Drosophila melanogaster: one gene and its partners. The protein of the gene in region 2 purifies or fractionates together with the protein of the main gene of each other region. This does not show direct contact. Each region holds a gene or a part of one and is shown on either strand. Other genes may lie near its edges.

Region 1 (4,279 bases), on a different chromosome or scaffold from region 2:
TTTTTAAGTCGTCCTTGGTAATATTAGGTCCAATCAGGCCAACCACCACCGTGCGTTCGTTGTTCTCTTCCTTATTTCTCGGTTGGGACACAGACAAAACATTGTCTCCAAGGGTTAACGCTTTAGGCTTAGCCTGCAGAACAGCTTCTGCTCCAGTTGACGTATCAAAGGCAATGAGAACTGATTTATTGCCATTCAAATTAGTGAAACGCTGCAAAGCGGAAAGTCGTCCGAACTTGGCGAACAATGCGACCAAGTCCTTGTGGAGATACTCTATGTGGAACAAATATACTAAGTTTAAATATACTTGAAAAATGAAATAATAAACCAGTTACTTTACCGTTTGGTAGGTTTGTGACAAAAACGATCTGGTTTTTTGGCGTTCCCAGCGGAATCTTGCCAACCTTTACTTTTGGAATTCCTCTATTTTCTTCGGACTTTTCAGAGTTGGCTTTTTCTGATTTCTTGGAAACTGGCTTCTCTACAGGCGCTTCTTCATCATCATCGGATTCATCTACCTCATCCGCGCCTTCACTTTTGGAAACCTCACCAGGCTCCAACTCATCGTCATCATCATCTTCCTCATCGTCACTATTGTACTCTTCATCTTCCTCAGCCTCGTCGTCAATTAAGCCCGCTGCCTCTTCGGTCTGAAAAGTAGACAATTTTCTTATAACCGCTGATGGGAGAGCACCAATAAAGACAATTTTTTTTTTATCGATATATGAACCGAGTCGGTATAAAACCAGAGGATCGTGGGTTATGTGCACTCGTCTTATAATTATAAAATCTTTACAACCACGTGGCAAAGAAAACGTAAAATGGATTCTTATCCATGCAGATCTATATATACGTGCATACTATGCATGTAATGTTAGCCATATCCATTCAGAAGACCACGTTTTTTTTATAGCTTACCTCAAAGTCGCTGTCGTCCCCTGGCTGCTCGTCATTTTGCTCCTCCACATCAGACTCGTCCTCTTCACTGAACTGCGGCACTTCTTTAACAGGCTGTTTTCTGGATTTTTTGGAAGGCGATTGGGGGACTACTGTCTCCTCTTCCTGTACCTTTGTGGACTTGGTTACCCGTTTGGCCAAAGGCTTTTCCTCTCCATTCGTAGCTTTTTTTCCTTTGACGGTGACGGCTTTCTTTTGGGCCATTTTGACAGCTTTTAGAGGTTTTCTGGGCAAAATTAGCAAAGTCAAGTTTGGACTGAACAACGCGTGGTTTCGTTCAATAAAATGCACGTGGAAAAGAGGGACAGAACAGTGTGACCGTTGTGCTCTATCGGTGCTAAGGCTGATTAAATAAAGTATTTTAGAGACTTCAATCTCATTTTTATAGCTCTATTCCACTACTAAATATGGTTTAAAGTCCGTTCATGCACATGTATACATATAAAAATAATAAAAGCCTTTAAAAAATAAAATAAATATTAAACAGTTTATATAAAGTATTTATTTAAGACTTAGGATACAATCTATGATTAGATATTTACCAACGGTCTGATTTTACATGTGTTTATACATTCCAAATGGTAAGTTTCCTCAATCATCAGCTATGAATCATCTGTTTCTAAAGGAATTTATAATATATATATTATATTTCATTAAAAAGCCAAGTCAACCTGCAGTTGCATTTTATCTTAGTAGGAAACTTAATGTTAATTCAAGCAATTGTTAATGGTATTGAAAGAAAAATTATTAAAAGTCACTTACTATGGGCCAGGGCACACTTAGGAAATATAAATAGGTGCCAAAAATGCAAAATAAATATTAATTATAGGCTGCGATTATGGTACGACCAAACATATATCGGTTTGTTCGCACTGAATTGAAATACCAGAGAAGTACATAATTTGTTAGTATGTAATATTCCCTGGTATTTTTCCAATGACTGTCAAGCAGTGCTGGTAAATGGCGGAACAAGTATACACATAAAAAATTAAATTGCAGCACAAGTCCCGCAACGCACACATATATTTATTTAACGGAGTTCCAATTAAGCAGGAACAGCAGAAAAGCAGAATAACAAGCATAACCGCCAAATAACATAATGAACGGTGGTGGTGGAGGAAGTGGAGGAGCAAATGTGAGCAATGGCTCCAGCACCAATGTAACAGCTGCCGGGAGCACTGGGGGCGGAAGCGCAGGCGACGAGACTGGTGGAGATGCCAGCTCCAGACGCCAGGCGACTCGGGTGTTTAAGAAGAGCTCCTCCAACGGCAAGATAACAGTTTACCTTGGCAAACGGGACTTCGTCGACCATGTCACGCACGTGGATCCCATTGACGGTGTTGTCTTCATTGATCCAGAGTACGTAAAGGACCGTAAGGTTTTTGGCCAGGTGCTTGCCGCCTTTCGGTACGGACGTGAAGACCTAGATGTTTTGGGATTAACGTTCCGTAAGGACCTGTATCTGGCGCATGAGCAGATCTATCCGCCCATGCAGCTGGACCGCCCGATGACCCGGCTTCAGGAAAGGTTAATTAAAAAGCTGGGGCCGAACGCCCATCCGTTTTATTTTGAGGTTCCGCCCTATTGCCCAGCCTCTGTGTCCTTGCAGCCGGCTCCTGGAGATGTGGGCAAGTCTTGCGGAGTAGACTACGAGCTGAAGGCCTTTGTGGGTGAGTCTTTGTGGGTCTGATCTTGTGGGTGTGTCCGTATACGGTGGTCAGTCAAAGTCAAAATCATTGATATTTCGCAGTGTGGCACATACCGTGTTTATTATATATGTTGCAATACATTAAATTTACAAATTTACAAATTTTTCTTTTTTCTTTACAAATTTTTCTTTTACCTTAGAGCAGTTAAATTGCGGGTACTATTGTTTCTGAGAATAAAATAATTTATTAAGAATATGGTTACAGTAGCAAAACTAGCTTTGTTCTTTTCTATAGAAGTTAGACTGTAAATTTCTTATATGTGTGGTTTTGTGTAAGTTAGCGCGTGCATCACGCGGTTGGGAACACAGGGTTAATCAATCCAACTACGTCGGGCTGATGACGCAGCGTTCACCTAATTGAAATTCGACACTTCTAATTGGAATTTGAATCAACCGAAGTTGCAGCGCAGTTAATGCTGTTGTTCGCCTTAACCAGGCGCCGCAGTTGGCGGTCTGACGATTTGTGTGCCAACAGCAAAGATCTTACATAGTTTCAAAATGTTTATTTGTTTAGTTTCTAATCTGTATTTAATAATTAAAAAAAGGTTTAAAGAATTTGTGCTTTATTTTATTAGTAGAAAGGTTTTTGGTTTCTGTAAATTTTAAATTTTTCATATTTTCGTACGATCGCCGAGCTCCACTCGCATATATATTATGTGCCCGTGGCACCCCCTTAATACATTCTCTGTTCAATAAATATTATTACCTATTGCCCTATTTTGTTTACACATTTTTGTGCTTTTATAGTTTCTGTTGGAATTTTATTATTATTCAGCAGCCAAATTGTTTACTGTTATAAACAGAGATTAATAAAATAGCAGCAATTGGCGTGTTGTTGGGTAAAAGAGTTTATAACAAGAACTTAATATTTATTTTTTCTGTATATAAGCCCAAATTCAATTTAAGAATAAAAACAACAATGTTGGAATTTGTACAGTTGGAAGAAACGATTTCTCAGTGCTTCTCTGCTTCCCCTCATGACAATTGAGTCAGCATTTTTATTTACTTTGCGTCTGTTCAATTGTGTATCTAATGTTCCTAGCTTTTATGTTTTTGGGATAACCAATTATATATATTTATGCGTATTTTTAAAGCAATGCTATTGATGATCAATTAAATGAATGTATATGCATATATATGAATAATATATATATATATATATATATATATATATATCCATATGTAAATGCCAGTAATTGTCGGCTTGTGATTAAACATCGTGGAATTCTATACATGATAGACTCAACATCAACGACAAATTTTGTAACGAATCGGACTACTGACACACCCGAGCGTCATGGGTTTTCTTCAACAAACATACATACATTGATGCCATTATTCATAATGTTTATCACTAATAGGTGAGAACGTGGAGGACAAACCCCACAAGCGGAACTCGGTGCGACTAACTATTCGCAAAGTCATGTACGCACCATCCAAAGTCGGTGAGCAGCCATCGATCGAAGTAAGCAAGGAGTTTATGATGAAGCCAAACAAGATCCATTTGGAAGCTACTTTGGACAAGGAGTTATACCACCACGGCGAAAAAATATCGGTCAACGTTCATGTGGCCAACAACTCAAATCGGACGGTAAAAAAGATTAAGGTATGTGT
Region 2 (4,279 bases):
ATGTCGGTTACATTGTGATAATTTTGTTTGTGAGTGTCAGTAACAATCTGCAGATCTCGCTTCTCGATTTCAGATGCGAACTGGAACCTTTCCTTTTGGAGCTCGGCTGTTTGTTGATCTTGCTCCTGATTATCAGATGCGAACTTTAGATCTTCATTATCATAATGGATCTCGATTACGAACTGAGGACTTTGTTGGTTTTTCTCCTGGATTTCAGGTATAGTGTGCAGATCATCAGATTCGAACTTTAGATCTTCATCATCGTCATCCTGGATCTCGATTACGGACTGAGGACTTTGTGCCTGTATATCAGTAACAGAAGGAGATGCAAGCTTCGTAACTTCGGTTACGATCTGCTGGTTTTGCTCCTGAATCTCAGCAGAAAACGAGAGATTTTCCCATTGGATTTCGGAGACAGCCGAGTAATCCTCCTGGGTCTCGGTTATAGTCTGATGATTTTGCTCTTCAGTTACAATCTGGTGATTTTGCCCTTGAATATCAGACGAGGTCTGGAAAACGTTCACTTGGATTTCGGGGGCAGTCTGGTGAACTTCCTCCTGGATCTCCGTTACAGACTGGTGATTTTGCTCCTGGATCTCTATTACAACCTGAGGACTTTGTACCTGTATATCAGTAGTGACAGGAGATGCAATCTGAAGACATTTCTCTGGGATCTCGGTTAATGTCTGTTGGTTCTGGTCCTGAATCTCAGAGGCACGCGTGAGATTTTTTTCTTGGACTGCAAGGACAATCTGGTTTTCATCCCGGATCTCAGTTAAAGTCTGATCCTGAGCCTCAGTTGCAATCGGATGATTTTGTTCCGAGATGCCATTTTCAAATTTCTGATCTTGCTCCTGGATATTATTGATTTGAATTTCGGGGACAACCTGGTGGAATTGCTCCTGGCTCTCAGTTATAGTCTGGGGATTGTGCTCCACGATATGTAATATAATCGGTTGATTATTCTCGGAGGCCTGATCGCATAGTTGGATTCCCGTTCCTATATGAATGTTTTGTTGATATAGGACTGGCTGATTGTTGTACTGCTGGACATAATATGCGACCTGGTTGTTTTGGTCAAGATCGATCAGGGCATCAACTGTAAGGGTGATGGTCGGTAGTGATGGTGGTTCTGGCAAGGGGGATGGAAATCGCAGTCTTATCGGCGAATCTATCAATGGACAATTTTGCAGCTCATGGAGTTGATGTATTGGCGATCCATCTGGAGAGTAACGCTGATTCGGAACTGGGACACACCGCGGCAGCAGCGGCGAGTAGTTCTGGCTAGGGAACGTAAATCGTGAATCCCCTGGCGGGGAACAATACGCATTAGTGTTCAATGTCTCGAATGCCTGTTCAGTTGGCAATAAGTGCGATGTCGGGAGACCTTGGTTCTCCGCCCATAGGAGTTGTGTTGCTGTGGCGTTGGCTGCTGCTTCTTCCGATCCTCTTGGCGCTACTGACGGATTACCCCAACTTGGAAACGTGCTGCGGCGTGAGTCCACATGAGACGCGACGCGCTCAATCACGTTCGGGTGAGCTGCTGGCGACGGCGAAAATCGCTGTCCTACTGCCGAACCGACTACTCGTGCTGCCGACACATTGCTCGCGATTTGGAGTGCGGATTCGTATGCGGAATTTGTGGACAAATCGGTGTCCTCGGGAGGCAGCGACATGCGTGTGTTCGCTACCGCTTTCGCTACTTTTAGCTGCAAATTGAAATTTAATCAGAAATTATTTTTCCACACGCATTCGCTTTCAAGAATCGCAAGAAGAAGAATAAGCAAAAAAGGAAAACGAGCCGGCAAAAAGGAAGCCCGATTTTGCGCATTTTTCGCTGTTTTTCGCCGTCTTTGCTTGGTGCCACTTCTGCGGCCGCCGGAAAATGCCGACGCTGCTATTGCACCGCACTGAGTGCCACACCACAAGCGCCTTGCAACAAACACTTACCCCTTGGCCAGGTTTTAAACAATGTACACTTTTCACTGTGACTTGAGAAAATTTTCGCAACTTAGCTCGATGAAAATTGAGTAAAGAAAGAAAATTTCGGTTTTGGCGTACTGGTGCCTTAGTATGACCGTACAAGATATTGCTCTATAATACCAAACCAATCGATATCGGCCAACAGTGTTGGGTCTGGCTGCCGCATCATAGCAGGCAGCTTTCGTCACGCAGCGAATGTAATTACCTAGAAATATCTGAGGAAATAACGGCATTTAGTCTTACTGTAAAAATACGACAAATTCGGTGAAAAGGGAAATTTTTCGTCAATATTTTCCAATAATATTTCAATATTTTCAATATTTCTTACACAGCGAATTTTGTAAGAACATGCATTTTTTTTAGTGTGCGACAGATTTCTAAAAAATTGAACCAATCTCTAGAATGAACGCAACATTTTATACTTTTAAACTTATTTTAATCGGAAAAAAACTGTCCACATTTCCAAAGTACAGTAGTCAGCACAGCTTAATGGAAAAATAGCTAAAAGGCTATAGCTACTTCTGTAGCAGTTCTTTAGGGATATTTTAAAGGCCAGCATTCCATTCTTTTTTCAAATTGACGTAATAAGACTTTTAAGACTTATGTTAAAATGTATGTAGCTTGCTTATAGTTTATATATTTATTTATTAATATCACTGCACAAATACAACAACAACGTCAGCCACAGCAGCACACACACACACACACATACACGATGCCTTGTTGTGTGAGAGTGCGCGAATTCTTCAGTCCCTCAATCCTTGCTCTGGCAGCAGAAGAAGAGGAAGTTCCAGAGCAGCGTGGTAGTTCCGTAAAGGGCGCCGGCCAGTCCCACGGTGGCCTGGAAGGAGTACCGCTCCACCACCCAGTGGGCCAGCGCGCCCCAGAGGAGAACCAGCAGGCCGTTGGTGAAGTGCACCGGACGGCGGATGGCCGTCCAGTTGGCCCGCGTCATGCCCATCTGGAAGACCAGCTCCTGCAGAAAGGCGGTCACCACCTGGCCAAATCCCAGCAGCACGGCGGACACACTGAGCAGCAGCTTGGAGGTGGAGAAGCTGATGACTGGAAGCGAAACAAAAGATGGATCTATTGATGGCCCGGGGAAAGCTTGAAACGGGTATCATGACTCACAGATCAGCGCCAGGCACTTGCAGATGCTGCCCAGCGTGTGCCACTGGAGCTTCCGCTTATAGAGGCTCGTGCCGAAGCGCGGAGTCATCAGGGAGAAGCACATCCATGGGAAGGCCAGCAGCGAGAAGAGGAACGGGATCTCGGCGTTCTTCAGCGCATGGTGGCTGACCGCCAGTCCGGGTAGCACCGTCAGGCACATCACGTAGCTAAAGATGTCCGCCGAGAGGAGCAGCGTGGTGGCGTACAGCTGCGGCACCAGCAGCGCCTGCTGCAGCGGCATGGCGATCTTGTCCAGCAGATTCCACCACAGGTGCGTGGTTACCGCACGCGACATCCGCCGGATGCGGCGCTGAAAATGAGGAGCATACGGAAAGGTTTCACATCCGGTCACCATATTCCACAAAGCCTGCGCACTACTCACCAGGTTGGCATAATCGGGAGGTAGGGGTGAGGAGCTACCTGTACCAGTTCCCGTTCCTGTGCCCAAAGGATGCTGGGGCGTCAGTGGATAGAGACGTCCATTGGACAGGGACTTGTGCGACATCTGCGAGGCGGACATGGCATAATTGTCGATGGTCGCATTGCTCGACCGCATCATGGACACCGTCTCGTCCTCCTCGGGTATGATCTCCATAATCTCCACCCCGTTGGGATTCACATACGTCACATACGCCTCATCGGTGGCCAGCATGTAGTTGCTGTGCGTGTCCACCACCACAGCGGCGGCGACGGCACCACTGGGCGTGGCCATTTCGGTGGTGGCCGGATTCCGCCATGAGAGCGTGTCCAATCCGTCCAGCTGGTCCGCCACCAAGTTGGCCGCCAGTGCGGCTCGCAGCGGCAGTGCAGCGAATCCCGTTTCCGCCTTGATCACCGATATCCGCTTCGTGGTGAAGGCATCCTCGCGATGCTTGGTAATGATCAGGCTCAGCGGGATGAGGTTCACCAGCAGGGCGGACATCAGTACGATGGACTGGGCGGTGCCGTACAAGGTGCGCAGGCTGGTGAACACGAACGAGAGGAACAGCTGGCAGAAGGCCTCGCCGCACAGGTGGATCGTCTTGCGGACGTACTTGTCCTCCCGCGGACGCACTGCCTCCAGAATGACGTGCGTCTTCCACAGGTACAAGCTGGAGCCGATACCTTGGACAAGGCGATAGAATGT
Region 3 (4,279 bases), on a different chromosome or scaffold from region 2:
AAGCTGACTTGGGAATATTACGCCACATTTTCCAGCTTAGCGATTATGAAGCTCCCCCCGACACCATTCTTTGTACATCAACCCTTGCGACTATAGTATGCGTTCTCGCTCATCGTAACTGTAATACTCGCTGCCTGCCTGAGTGCGTGTCTTTGCTTTTTGACCTAGGCCAACCCAACCACTTCGCCCACGCAATTTGTGCGTGGCAGCGGCGACGCACACTGCGGCAGAGGCGTCGACAGAGCGGCGGCAGAGCAGCAGCTGCGCAGCCTAAGCTCAGACTTCGTGTCTAGACCTTCGCTATATAAATACAACACCAAAGTAGAATGCTAAAATTTCTAAATCTGGCATATTTCGTTCAGTCGTTCGTACAGCTCTCGTTCTCTCATGTTTCATATGCAAAGATTCTATAGTAAACTGACTTTGTTTTCAAAAATATATAACAAGTACACGTTTTCAAAAAAGAATATCTATATATTTTAAAACATTTAGTATGTTCATAATTTGAGCCTTAATAGTCGAAGGTTAATAATTGTGCTTTAGACTGGAATTTTCAATCCTTCCGGCCATATTCCCCACCATGGAATTTCCAGTCACTCCAATTTCATTCGCTTAATTTCAATATCTTATCGCTGTTGATAGTTCTCGTTTGATAAGTCTGCCTAGAGCCCTAACTTTAGCGTACAATTTCATTGAGGGACATCCTATGAATTGAAAAACGGCGAACGTGTCGTGTTATATTGCCTTATCTTATCGGGGCTCATCGAACCTTAGCTAGAATATGTATGTGAAATGTTAACGCGATCCTCCGGTTGGAATAGATACTCTCGACGGGAGCAGAAGTAATTTTATAAAAAAATCCGATTCGAGGGGGGAAGCGAAGTGAAAAGCTTACAATTTGCTTATATTTAAGTGTTCAATGACCCCATCAAAAGTCCACAAAGAAGACACCAAAAAGCAACACCGAATCCAAACCAACTCAATTTATGTATCTGTATCTCTGCGTATGTATCTCCACGTGTAAAATAGCTATGCATGTGTAAATAGGGTGTATTTTTGGAAGTGAACCGAAGTGAATTTAATTATAATTTTAATATAAATACTTCTTTTAGTTTAGTTTAGTTTCGTTTGAGCGTTTCACGTTCAATCTGGTATCTGTTTGTATCTAGCTTTCATACTGACCGCCAAGCAACTTTACTGATCTATCCAAACACGGCGATCACTTCCATTAAAGACCAGTTTTAAGTCGCTTTATTTCAGAGCTATCCCAACAAAATAACGGCACTTTAACTTTTCCGAACCGCAGCTGAATCCCCTCCCCTCGTTTTTCCCATTCTAGCTGCCCCCCGTTTTGGGAAGCAACTCATAAGAGATAATTGTGTCTTTCCCCCTCAAAAAATATTGTGTCGTTCATACCTTCAGAAACTTTTTGGTCGGGCAACCCAAAAGAGCACGAGCGCACGAATCGGGGGATCGGGGGATCGGTGATCATTCTCTGCCCTCCAACAACACCGCACTCACTCAAAAATAGTTTTTGTGTCGAATGTTAATGAACTTTTGCGCTAGTTTAACGCACAGCCAGCCGAATAAACATTCAGACACAATAACAACGAAAGCCGATAAAGTTTTTTGAACCTGCCTTCACCGAAACTTTTGTATTTCAACATTTGCTTCTCGTGCTCATTCTGTTTTTTGGGAGGGTTTCTTATAAATGTTCGCTTGTTGAAGGTGGAAACTGGTCGTTGGCTTTCTATAGATGGACTGCTCAAAATATATCCCTGAGATTTTGTAGCCTCTAAACGTATAGTTGCCGCAATTGTTAGTTAATTGGTATGCTAAGTGTGGCAAGCAAGTTGGACTTTGGTACTTTAAAGAATAATAACTATAAGACTGCGATAAGAACTATCAGAACTTATTGCCTAATTCGTTGCATTTATGACTCAAATGCTAGAATCTTATCAATGAAAACCCAACTAATTACATCACTTAAATGAAATCACTTCAGAGTTCAAAGTTTATTCAATGCTTGTATATGTACATATTTTCAATTAGTCTGAAATAATAAACGTCGCAGATAACTTAGATACCAATGAAATTTCCCTGAGCTCGGGGAAATTTTGGTGCTCCATAAAAGAGAATGTCATCGGAAAAGTCCGAAACCACTCAAACTCAAAAAAAAAAGAAACACTCGAAAATTTCCCTTGTCATCGCACTCAAACATTTTCCAATTGAGGGAAATTTCAGATCCAATGGGACCATTCTTGTTGGTGGTGGTTGATTTTTCCGTGACAGGGTTTGAGGCAGATTTTTCGGGAACTCACCCACCAGTCTCCGTTACACCATCGAACCGAAAACCTCGGGAGCGGCGATGTGAACATAATCTGAATCCCATTCTACTCCGTTAAGTGTTGTTTGTACGGGTGTTGTGCGTGTGCGTGTGCTTGTGTGTGTGTGTGTGTGTGTGGTCCACACCTCGAAAATGACCGACTTTTCAATGAACGATATTTTGAGATCATTCAGAAAAATGCGTATGAACAAGGGCTCGGGCCAGGGCGGTCAGCACCACCAATACCGCAATCATCAGCACCAACAGCAGCCTCCGCAAAATATGCAACACTACCAACACACCTATCCCGTGCAACAGTCGAAGGACTTGAAGAAAATCATCAAAATCATCAAGAAGAACCTGATCAAGGAGAAAATCACGCGTCAAATGAAAATCCTTGTCTAAAAATGTCATGAGACGAGCTAAATGAATGAATAAATCTTAAGACTGCTGATATACAAATCGAGGGACTGATACTGAAAAACTGACACGAGTTCAGCGCTAAAGTCTGATTTTGTAAACTCAAATCAATGAATAAATTTACAAGTATACACATTGAATAAGAAAAGATCTCTTCAAACTTATAAACTATATTATAAATTAGACTTGCTTACAATTGAATGATTTGACTTGAACAATCAAAAAGTATTATTAGGAGGAAAACCTGTATGGAGCAGTAGCAAGATGACTGAAAGCAAGAATGATACAAAATCTTGGGCACCCAAACAAATTTGGATTAAGGATGTTCTCAAGAAATCGGGCACGGAACTGCTCGATATATCCAAGAGTCCCGCAAAGGCTGTTGCCGTCAAAAAATCGCCGGCGAAAGGTAATTGAGATGCTTTTCCTAAAAATTCAGACCGAAAAAGTTCCCTCACGACGCCATTTTGTTTTGGTATACGCAATTTTTGTTTTGGGGGAAGTTGTGGGGTTCGTTCATACTATCATAACAAAAAAAAAAAAAAATACAACAGCGCGACTGATACAGAAAGTGCGAGCGAGCAGGATGGCAACGGGAAATGCCGGTTGGAAACCGTACGATTCGTAATGCTATCTCCCAAATATCCCAAGTGGGACATTTTCGAGGCAGGGTTCTCAATGAAATTTTTCCCATTTCCTCTGGCTCTCACTCTCCTGCGCCTTCGCTTTTCCTCCCCCCATAAGCTCTCGCTAGGTTTTCCTTATTTTGGAAAACCCCGGCCGGCAATAACAGAAAGTGCGTAGCACAAATTCACGGGGTGGGTTTTCCCCTTTACGCCCTTTTTTCCTTTGGCTCTTACGAGACTTTTCCTAACCACCCGTATTGCACTTTCTATCTGCTTCCGTGTTTTTCCTGAGACGCAGATTGTGAATTGATGGGGGGCAAAGGAGTTAGACCTTATACTATGGTTAAGCTGGCTTTGTAGAACCACAAAAACCAAACAATAGGTTGCTAATATAACTAATAAGCAGTATCTAATTTATAATTTCTTGTATTATTACTTAAGTCTATTTAGAACCAACTATTTTGGTCAGGTATCAAACTAGTTAACTATGGTCAAAAATCTAATGCGGCTCCTTCTTTTTCGCCCTCTTCCAGATTCAGCCACAACCAAAATGGTTTACTATTCCGCCAACCAGCTGCTTATAAAAACGGAACAATCTAGTCAGGCGCAGTTCTGCCTCCAGGTTCCGCCTCCACTAACAGCGACGACCACGAGCGTGGGCCTAGGAGTTCCGCCATCCGGCGGCCAACAGGAGCACTTCGAGCTGCTGCAGACGCCGCAGCAGCGACAAATGCAACTGCAGCTACAGGACCAGCACCAGCAGGAGCAGCAGCAGTTTGTCAGCTACCAACTGGCCATCCAGCAGCATCAGAAGCAGCAACAACAGCAGCAACATGAAAGTATTACGAACGCAGCACCCACAGCAGCTCCATCAGCCCAGCGGATCAAGACAGAGCCCGTCGGCGGA

Evidence for each region.
Region 1: the proteins of Ulp1 (region 2) and krz purify together in Drosophila melanogaster (affinity purification with western blotting; 2 studies listed by BioGRID, with this or other methods). This does not show direct contact.
Region 3: the proteins of Ulp1 (region 2) and Kr-h1 purify together in Drosophila melanogaster (affinity purification with western blotting, with the first as the bait; one study listed by BioGRID). This does not show direct contact.

The regions. Positions count from the first base shown.
Region 1 is NT_033777.3:32,049,617-32,053,895, reverse strand, and holds the start of krz (kurtz), read left to right. Parts: upstream 1-1,902; 5' UTR 1,903-2,056; coding exon 2,057-2,627; intron 2,628-4,026; coding exon 4,027-4,279. Other genes in the region: mod (modulo), read right to left, coding at 1-273, 341-650, 919-1,161.
Region 2 is NC_004354.4:19,206,084-19,210,362, forward strand, and holds the start of Ulp1 (Ulp1), read right to left. Parts: upstream 2,105-4,279; 5' UTR 1,951-2,104; intron 1,710-1,950; 5' UTR 1,677-1,709; coding exon 1-1,676. Other genes in the region: CG14195 (uncharacterized protein), read right to left, coding at 2,738-3,045, 3,115-3,463, 3,536-4,257.
Region 3 is NT_033779.5:6,089,090-6,093,368, forward strand, and holds the start of Kr-h1 (kruppel homolog 1), read left to right. Parts: upstream 1-2,322; 5' UTR 2,323-2,479; coding exon of another isoform or gene 2,480-2,731; 5' UTR 2,732-3,010; coding exon 3,011-3,155; intron 3,156-3,905; coding exon 3,906-4,279. Other genes in the region: CG45075 (uncharacterized protein), read left to right, coding at 2,480-2,731. UniProt on the Drosophila melanogaster protein: Plays a general role in the hierarchies of gene expression leading to metamorphosis.